2 linked regions of the Coturnix japonica genome follow. The protein of the gene in region 1 binds, or shares a complex with, the protein of each later gene. Links are inferred from orthologs where the notes say so. Each region holds a gene or a part of one and is shown on either strand. Other genes may lie near its edges.

The links. The genes of interacting proteins can lie anywhere in the genome.
Region 2: the proteins of SCAP (region 1) and INSIG2 are in contact, whole or in part, in a cryo-EM structure (PDB 7ETW), measured with the Homo sapiens proteins. The link is inferred for Coturnix japonica from reciprocal best matches to the Homo sapiens genes SCAP and INSIG2. Residues at the interface, in NP_036367.2 of Homo sapiens: Pro200, Ser206, Val282, Ala283, Glu284, Ile286, Pro287, Thr290, Ile294, Ala297, Tyr298, Phe301, Lys305, Tyr351, Val354, Val355, Glu359, Thr409, Leu410, Val411, Ser638, Tyr639; in NP_001308258.1 of Homo sapiens: Phe41, Val45, Leu48, Leu49, Ile51, Val55, Leu57, Phe58, Pro59, Val62, Ser65, Ile66, Glu104, Trp105, Ser106, Met109, Arg110, Val112, Ala113, Val114, Val116, Gly117, His120, Gln132.

The regions. Positions count from the first base shown.
Region 1 is NC_029517.1:772,614-776,673, forward strand, and holds the start of SCAP (sterol regulatory element-binding protein cleavage-activating protein), read left to right. Parts: upstream 1-1,240; 5' UTR 1,241-1,421; intron 1,422-2,988; 5' UTR 2,989-3,091; intron 3,092-4,060. UniProt on the Homo sapiens protein: Escort protein required for cholesterol as well as lipid homeostasis.
Region 2 is NC_029522.1:18,248,184-18,251,752, reverse strand, and holds part of INSIG2 (insulin-induced gene 2 protein), read right to left. Parts: intron 3,385-3,569; coding exon 3,260-3,384; intron 1,701-3,259; coding exon 1,534-1,700; intron 1,180-1,533; coding exon 1,080-1,179; intron 611-1,079; coding exon 569-610; 3' UTR 1-568. UniProt on the Homo sapiens protein: Oxysterol-binding protein that mediates feedback control of cholesterol synthesis by controlling both endoplasmic reticulum to Golgi transport of SCAP and degradation of HMGCR.

The sequences.
Region 1 (4,060 bases):
CGTGCAGGTACAAGCAGGGGCCATGCCCTGAGGGCTGGGCACACCTCACCTTTTCCGGTTGTGTATGGCTGCCCCACCCTGGCATTTAAAGAGATGACACAGAGCGGGTGGAGGCGGGGATGGCTTGGGAACGTGTTGCAATCCTTACCTTTCTCCCAGCTCTGCCACGGGAGAGATTTGCTCAACTCCCAGCTGACACAGAATGAAACAAGACGCAGCTCTGTGTGGAGCTGCTCTCCTGGCTGATGTAAGACTTGCAGGCCGCCTTGCTCAGGTGCTTCTTTGCTCTTTGTTACTTTCCCCCTTTAATATACAATACAACCCCTGTGCCCGTGTGTGTCTCTTCAGTGTGTGACATCCCCAGCTCATCCTCATGCAAGCAATGTTTGTCCATCAGCCCGCACCCATCAGTGCGTTCAGATCACAACCAGCGATGCTTTATGACCTACCAGTTCCTGTCATGGAGTGTCACTAAGGGCTCGTGGTCACTCATTTTAATTAGATAAAGGATCTAATTAGTGCAGCCGTTCTGGTTCTGCAGCACTCAACAGCAGCGATGTGCCCAGAGGAGAGCAGCCCTTCGGAACCAGATTCATTTGGAGAGCTGGATCCCAGCAGCAGCTGCAGCCTGTTATTGCTGCATGTGTTTGGCCATGCAATAGCAATGATAGCAGCAAGGAAGCACTGAGAACCACGGTGTCTCCTGGTTTGCAGCAAGGACTGAACCCATGGCCCATATCCACACAGCAAGGACTGAACCCATGGCCCATATCCCCACAGCAAGGACCGAACCCATTGCCCATATCCACACAGGACTGAACCCACTGCCCATATCCCCACTGTAAGGACTGAACTCACTGCCCATATCCCCACTGCTGCCCTTGGTTTGTAGAAGCTCAAGGCCCATCTCCCAGCTGTGCTGAGCCTCGGCCACGTCCAGAGCCAAGGGCAGGGATAGAGCAGAGGGCAGAACAGCGTGTCCTTGTGCGGGGACAGCCAACACCTGGTCCTATGGTCGGTGCTGTGAGCGGCCCCACCATCCCCCCTATGGCCCCACCGCCCCTCCAGCCTCGCTCCACGTGCTCCCAGCGCGCCACTTCCGCGCTCTCACGTGGTTCCGGTAGCCCCGCCCCCCGAGGGGCGTGTCCAATAGGAGCAAGGGGGCGTGGCCGAGCGGGACCGAACCGCAGCGCGATGGGGGGCGGGGCTAAGGGGGTCGCGCATGCGCCATTGAGCCGGGAGACGGCGGCGAGGGGGCGGGAAGGGCGGACCGGAAAGAGAGAGGGGAGGAAAGGAGAGGAACGGGACGGGATAGAACAGCGGGACCGGGCCGGGAGCACGGCGACGTGAGCGGGACCGGACGGGACGGGCTGAGCGGGGCTGCGAGGAGCGGCCTGAGGTGGAGGAGCACAGGCCGTGAGGTGAGCGGAGCTGCCGGCCACACAGCGCGGCCCTGCAGCACCACACACCCCATATACCTCCATACATCCCCACACACCCCCATACACCCCATACATCCCCATACACCCCCATTTCCCCTTCCCCCCCCGGCCCCTTTCCTCCTCTCGCAGCCATTTTCGCCTTTTTTCCCCCCTTTTATCCCCCCCTTGTTGGAGGTTGCGGCCCGACCCGGAGCTGCGATGAGCCTGAGGGGAACAAAGGTGCTGAGCTGCTGTAGGGCCCGTGTGTAGTGATGTGTGTGTGCGGGACAACAACAGGGGGATGGGGAGCTCGGGGAGCGGGGCCAGAGGAGGCCGCTAAGATGCTCAGAGGATGGAGCAGCTCCTGTGAGGAAAGGGTGAGGGAATGGGGCTGGTTTGGATTGAGAAGAGAAGGCTGCAGGGAGACCTCACTGTGGGCATCCAGTACTTGAAGGGAGTGAATAAACAGGAGGGGGAACGGCTGTTTGTGAGGGTGGGCAGTGATAGGACAAGGGGGAATGGTGTTAAACTGAGACAGGGGAGGTTGAGGTTGGATCTTAGGAGGAAGTTTTTTCCCCAGAGGGTGGTGACGCACTGGAACAGGTTGCCCAAGGAGGCTGTGGATGCCCCATCCCTGCAGGCATTCAAGGCCAGGCTGGATGTGGCTCTGGGCAGCCTGGGCTGCTGGTTGGTGACCCTGCACACACGCAGGGGTGGTTTAAGGATGAGCACCTGTGGGCCTTTGCAACCCAGGACAGAGCTGTGGCCTTAACACCAAAACAACCCTCAGCTCTTTTCTCAGCCCCCTCCCAGCATAAAGCGAAGCTTCCTTTCAGCTATGGCATGAGCTCTTTGCTGCTGTAACAGCAATAGGTTTCACATACAGGTGTGATACATCCTATGCAAGGCAGAGGGAGGCCGGGCTGCCACCAGCTCAGTGCTGTGTGCTCACTGACAGTGGTGCTCTGCTGCCTGTCCCTCCAGGCAAGAATTAAACACACAGATGGCACAAAAGAGCAGAGAATCCATCGTGGCTTTTCTTGTTTTTCTCTCAGGAGCATTAAAGTAGCGCTCAAATACCAGAATCTGAGTGATGAGTGAAGCTCGGCGGTCTCTCTGCACGGCTATACCACTGTTGGTTTGTTCAGCACAACCTGTGGAGTCATATCATACAGTGGCCTGGGTTGCAAAGGACCCCCAAAGCTCATCCAGTCCCAACCCCCTGCTGTGTGCAGGGTCAGCAACCAGCAGCCCAGGCTGCCCAGAGCCACATCCAGCCTGGCCTTGAATGCCTGCAGGGATGGGGCATCCACAGCCTCCTTGGGCAACGCCTTTGGTTTCAGCCCTTCCCACCCGCTGTTGCTCTGGGGCTGCCGTGTTCTTCCCTCTCGCTGCCCTGTCCTGGATTGCTGCATTGAAATGAGGCTTTTAAGGAGCAGAAGGGAGTTCTGCAGTGCAGCCCTCAGCTGTGTTGGCTGTGAGATGTTATTTTGCAGCCCAGATACCAGAAAGGAGTGGAGGGATGGGCATGGAGCTGATGTCTTCAGGTTGTGCTTTGTGTCCTCAGGTGACCGCCCAGCGCTGACGTTTCGGGATGGCCGGTGCCTTTACTGCAGAGCTGGATTCCCTTGGGAAGAGCAGGGAAATCTGAGGCTCCTGCCCATTGAACGGTGAGTTACAGCTGATGTGGGAGAGCAGCAATGAATGAGGAGAACATCCAGGCTGGATTTGGCTCTGGGCAGCCTGATCTGGTGGTTGGTGACCCTGCACATTGCAGGGGTTGAAACCAGATGATCATCGTGGTCCTTTTCAACCCTATGATTACATATGAGGAGGAGGGTTGCATTTCTTCTGTTAAAAACTGAATTAATCTTGTGTGGTCCATTGTGATAAAGATGCCGTGGGGATAATGGTGGGTCTGTTCTCAGAAGACAATGTTGGAGTTAGGCTTTGTTATCTAACAGCGTCGTTTGGGGGTTGTTTCACTGCTGGGGAGAAAGAGCTGAATGGGTTGGCAGCCCTGGCTTTTAGTTGTGGATTATTAGAAAGGAAAATATTTAGCTGTGTGTGATGCTGGAGATAACAGAGGGCTCCCTTTGTCCGATGCTCACAGCCCTTCTTGCTTATTCTGCCTTGCCAAACGTTTCTTCTGTAATCCAGAACCTGCTGAAAATCAATCCCATGCAGGTGAGTCACCTTACAGGTGCTTGAATTCACTTGTGCCTCCTGAGCGGGGCAGATGTTAGGGAGCACTCTTGTCTTTTTGTCCTGAAAACGGTTCTGATTAATGGTTTTTTGTGGCTTTTTTTCTATTTTTTTTTTTTTTTTTTGAGGGAACAACACAGGGAAATACATCCAGGGTTCTTCATTCTCACTTCCCTTTACATGCAGTGTGTGGTCAGCGTGGTGGCTGTGGGCTCTCATTTCTGTCGCTTGGCATCCTGCCTGTGAGTAGCTGCTAATTAGCAGGCAGGGCTTCCAGCCCTCCGGGGTTCAGCGTGAGAGCTGTGCTGGAGCTGTGGGAGCTGGAGGGAGGCTCTGTGTGCAGCAGGACGGGCACCACCCCACAGAGCCACATGGGAGCAGTTCTGCTCTGTTAGTTCTGCTCTGTTCCTTCTGCTCTAGGAGCTCTCTGCACG
Region 2 (3,569 bases), on another chromosome or scaffold:
ACTACACAATTCATACTAAGCCTCCTCATCTGTGATGTGAATGATAGTGCGTTAATAGGCGGAAATCAGTTACTTATTGCATCAAGGCCCACTTGCAATCCATGTATTTCTTAAATGTATTACTAGCTATCATCAGGTAAAGAGATCTTCATTCCTAAGTCTGAATCCCATATTTTTCACTGAGCTATTAAGAACAAATTCCTCAAAACTTTCAAGATAAAGTGAAGCAGAAGTTGCAGCTACAGAAACATAGTGCAAAGGTTCAGTTTGGCACTGCAACATTATGGACAGACAAGAAGTTACGGTAAACTCAGTTTAGATTTGGAAAAAAGAATCCTATAATTGAACCAACATTATCAAATGTATTGCATACTATTGTAACTTCACAGTAATCAAAAATCAGACATTAAGGTTTCTATAGAAGCAGCAATCACAGATTGCAGTAAAATATACCACTGAAGGGGAAAAAAATTGCATTTTGGCAATTTCATAGTCAAGTGTTCCTTATGCTCCTCCAACAGTCATTTGTCAGATATTTTCCTGTTTTAAAGGTGCATACTGTTTCTCCTCAGTCCTCGTGAGACTTCTCTGCAATGACCTTGCATTCATACTGAAAAACAGAAATTGGCAAAACAATAATAATTATGTACATAACTAATAAAAAAAGGCTATGAAGGGGAATTTTCTACAGTATAAACTGAAATAGCTCAACTTACTACTTTACCCAGTTAAGCTTGGTCTCCCTAAGTTCTAAGCAAACAGTGCTGGCTGTGATTTCTGTCTCCGTGAGCAGCAGAAATAGTACAGACTAAGGAGTGGTTTGACTTCTGCCCGAACACTGGTGCTCTCATTTAGCTTCTGAGACAAAAGCATGCACCCCAGCATACAGAGCAAAGCAATGAGCCACGTTCCTATTAAAAGCACTGATGGCTCACTAACCAAATCAAAAAGCAACTATTACCAGTTTGTACCTCATCCTGCAGCCCAAGTTCAAATAACTGATTGGTATGTACAAAGGAAGCAGGGACGTGGAGATCAGAAGTATCACTAGAAGGCAGTCAGTCCTCCCCCACACTTACCATTGCCAGCTGCCGGCCGATATTGCCCATCGTTATTCCACCAGCAAAAAATATACATGGCAACCAGGAACGAACATAAAGGAAATCTGGTGATGTATATCTGGAAAAGAACAGTTTTTTAGCTCAAACTTGTGCCATACATAGAGGAGAATTCTTCAATCACAGGAAACAAATCTATAGGCTTAAGTTATAGACACTTCAACTCAAAATGCTACTATTATAGAAACGTAATTGCTTAAAGTAAGTAACATTGTTGATAAAAGCAGCAATTTTACTGAATTAAGCAACTCCTAACTGAAAGTCTTAATACAGAGCTTTCACAAACGTATTTTACTCCCCAAATTAAGTTCTGACTGTTTTACAATTCACATCAAATTCAGCCCCTTCAGTTATTCTGACTTTGTATTACAGATTCAGGATACTACTAGCTAGCCTCAAAGAAATAAATACTTACTGATAAACTCCATTGTAGACCAGAAGCTGTGACACCAATGTGGCCAGGAAAGCAATTCCTACTCCAAGACCAAAGCCACTTCGTGATCTATCAAACGTCCACCATAACCCAATTGACAGAGCTGCTAACGTGAGAGACAACTGGATATTGTTGGCAAAATCCACTTTCTGTGTTAATTGTTAAGGAAAAGCTTGGAAATACCAAATACAAATGTAAAGTAGTTCTCTTGGTTCTGTTCATCATACTTTAACGTAACAGTTTTTCCCACCATAAAAATACAGCAGTAGCTGTATCTGTTACCACGCACCTAAGATGAAGAAGGAAATAAGCCTTTTAAATGTTGCCAACATATCGGGAAACAACTGAAGGCTCTTCTTCATGTTTTTAGTGTCTTAGTACTGTAAAAGAGCCAGGACTATATACTTGCCAAATAACACCACAGTTTCAGATGCAGAAAAAAAAATGCAAATTAGTACTGTTCAGAATAAGGACTTGCCATCCTTTTCTGCTCCTCTATTTCACTACACATAAAATCTTAATTCTGCCATTAGACTCCTTTAAATGGCAGAGATTTACTGGAGGGGAAAAAAAAAAAAAAAAAAGATACTTGTCACTCTTTCTTCTATTATGTTTAAATGACATGGTACTTTGCATTCAGCAAAACATTAAATGCTTTCTTAAAAATGAAATGTAGATAATACTAACATGAAAGTATTCAACACTGAGTATCAGATTTATGAAAAATGTAATAATGACTGAAGCTATTTGTATTATTTCACCTTCCTCAAAATGTTTTGGAAATACCAACTCATCCTCGCTATTTGTTTCCAAGAGAGAGTGCTGAAAAGGAGGCTGATGAGTTTCTAAAGTCTGAAAGCAAATTTGTGGGATGAAAACATAAAATCACTGTCCTACTTTCTCACAACAGCCTGGAGGGAGCTCAAGGAAATTAGATGTTCGACTAATCAGTAAAATTAATCAATTACAGGATAAAAAAAATCAATAGCATCAGAAAATATATCAAATGAACCAAAGCCACACCAAATATGGTAATGTGCAGAGCCAATAATAAACTAAAAAGACAGCTTTCTGGAAGAGCTGTCAAGGAGGAAACACAGACAGTACATTAATGTTATTCTGGAATTTTTGTAACAGCTGTTATAAAACCGCAAGGTTTGTTGCAAATAACTTGAACCATGTGAAAAACGCTGTCAATTCTTTCACATTTCTCCAAAGCAACAAAGTTGTATTTGCTCACTGAGCAGGTATAGTCCAAGGCTGATGAGAACTACAGGACTACATCAACAAATCTTTGACAAAAAGAAAACAAACAAGGTCTGTGAGAGACACCACGAATGACTCAACCTCAGCAGCCCCAGCTTGTCTGGCCATGCTGGATTGGTTTTGCTCCCACAAGCCATCCTTGCAACAACAACAAAAATATCTAAGGGCCACCTCAGTAAGAGCTCTGTCAGCTCTCACATCATTCACAGAACCTGTGCTCTTTTCCTGTAAATCAGGAAATTCAGTAGCCTCTTTTAGCACTCCCACCACACACTTCTGCTGTGCTGGAGCTGACAGTGAAAGGAATGAGCTCCAGAGAATACAAACATCCTTTCAAATCAGTTTATACCACAAGAAAGGTAACTATCCTCTCAGCATCGAGGCTACATCTGTGGAATGGGGTAACACCTGAAAAATGCAGTTTCATTGGAACATAGGATACAGCGCTGGCATGATTTATTCCCACAAAGACTGCTACACACCGCATTACACTGGACCATTCTCTCTTAAATTTATGTGGCTCTCCCAGATGTCTGTCCATGCATGGGTACAATAACCCAATCACAGCTGTGGAAACATGAAAGAAGAAAGGCCAAAAAAATTAAAGCTCCGGCAATGCTCAACCAAAACAAAGACTAGCTTGATTTCGTCAACTGCTGTAACCAAAACAAATCTTTTAAGCACACGAATCAAAACACACATGGCAAAACAAGCACACACATAAAAAAATAGTAATTTAAACAATTTCATAT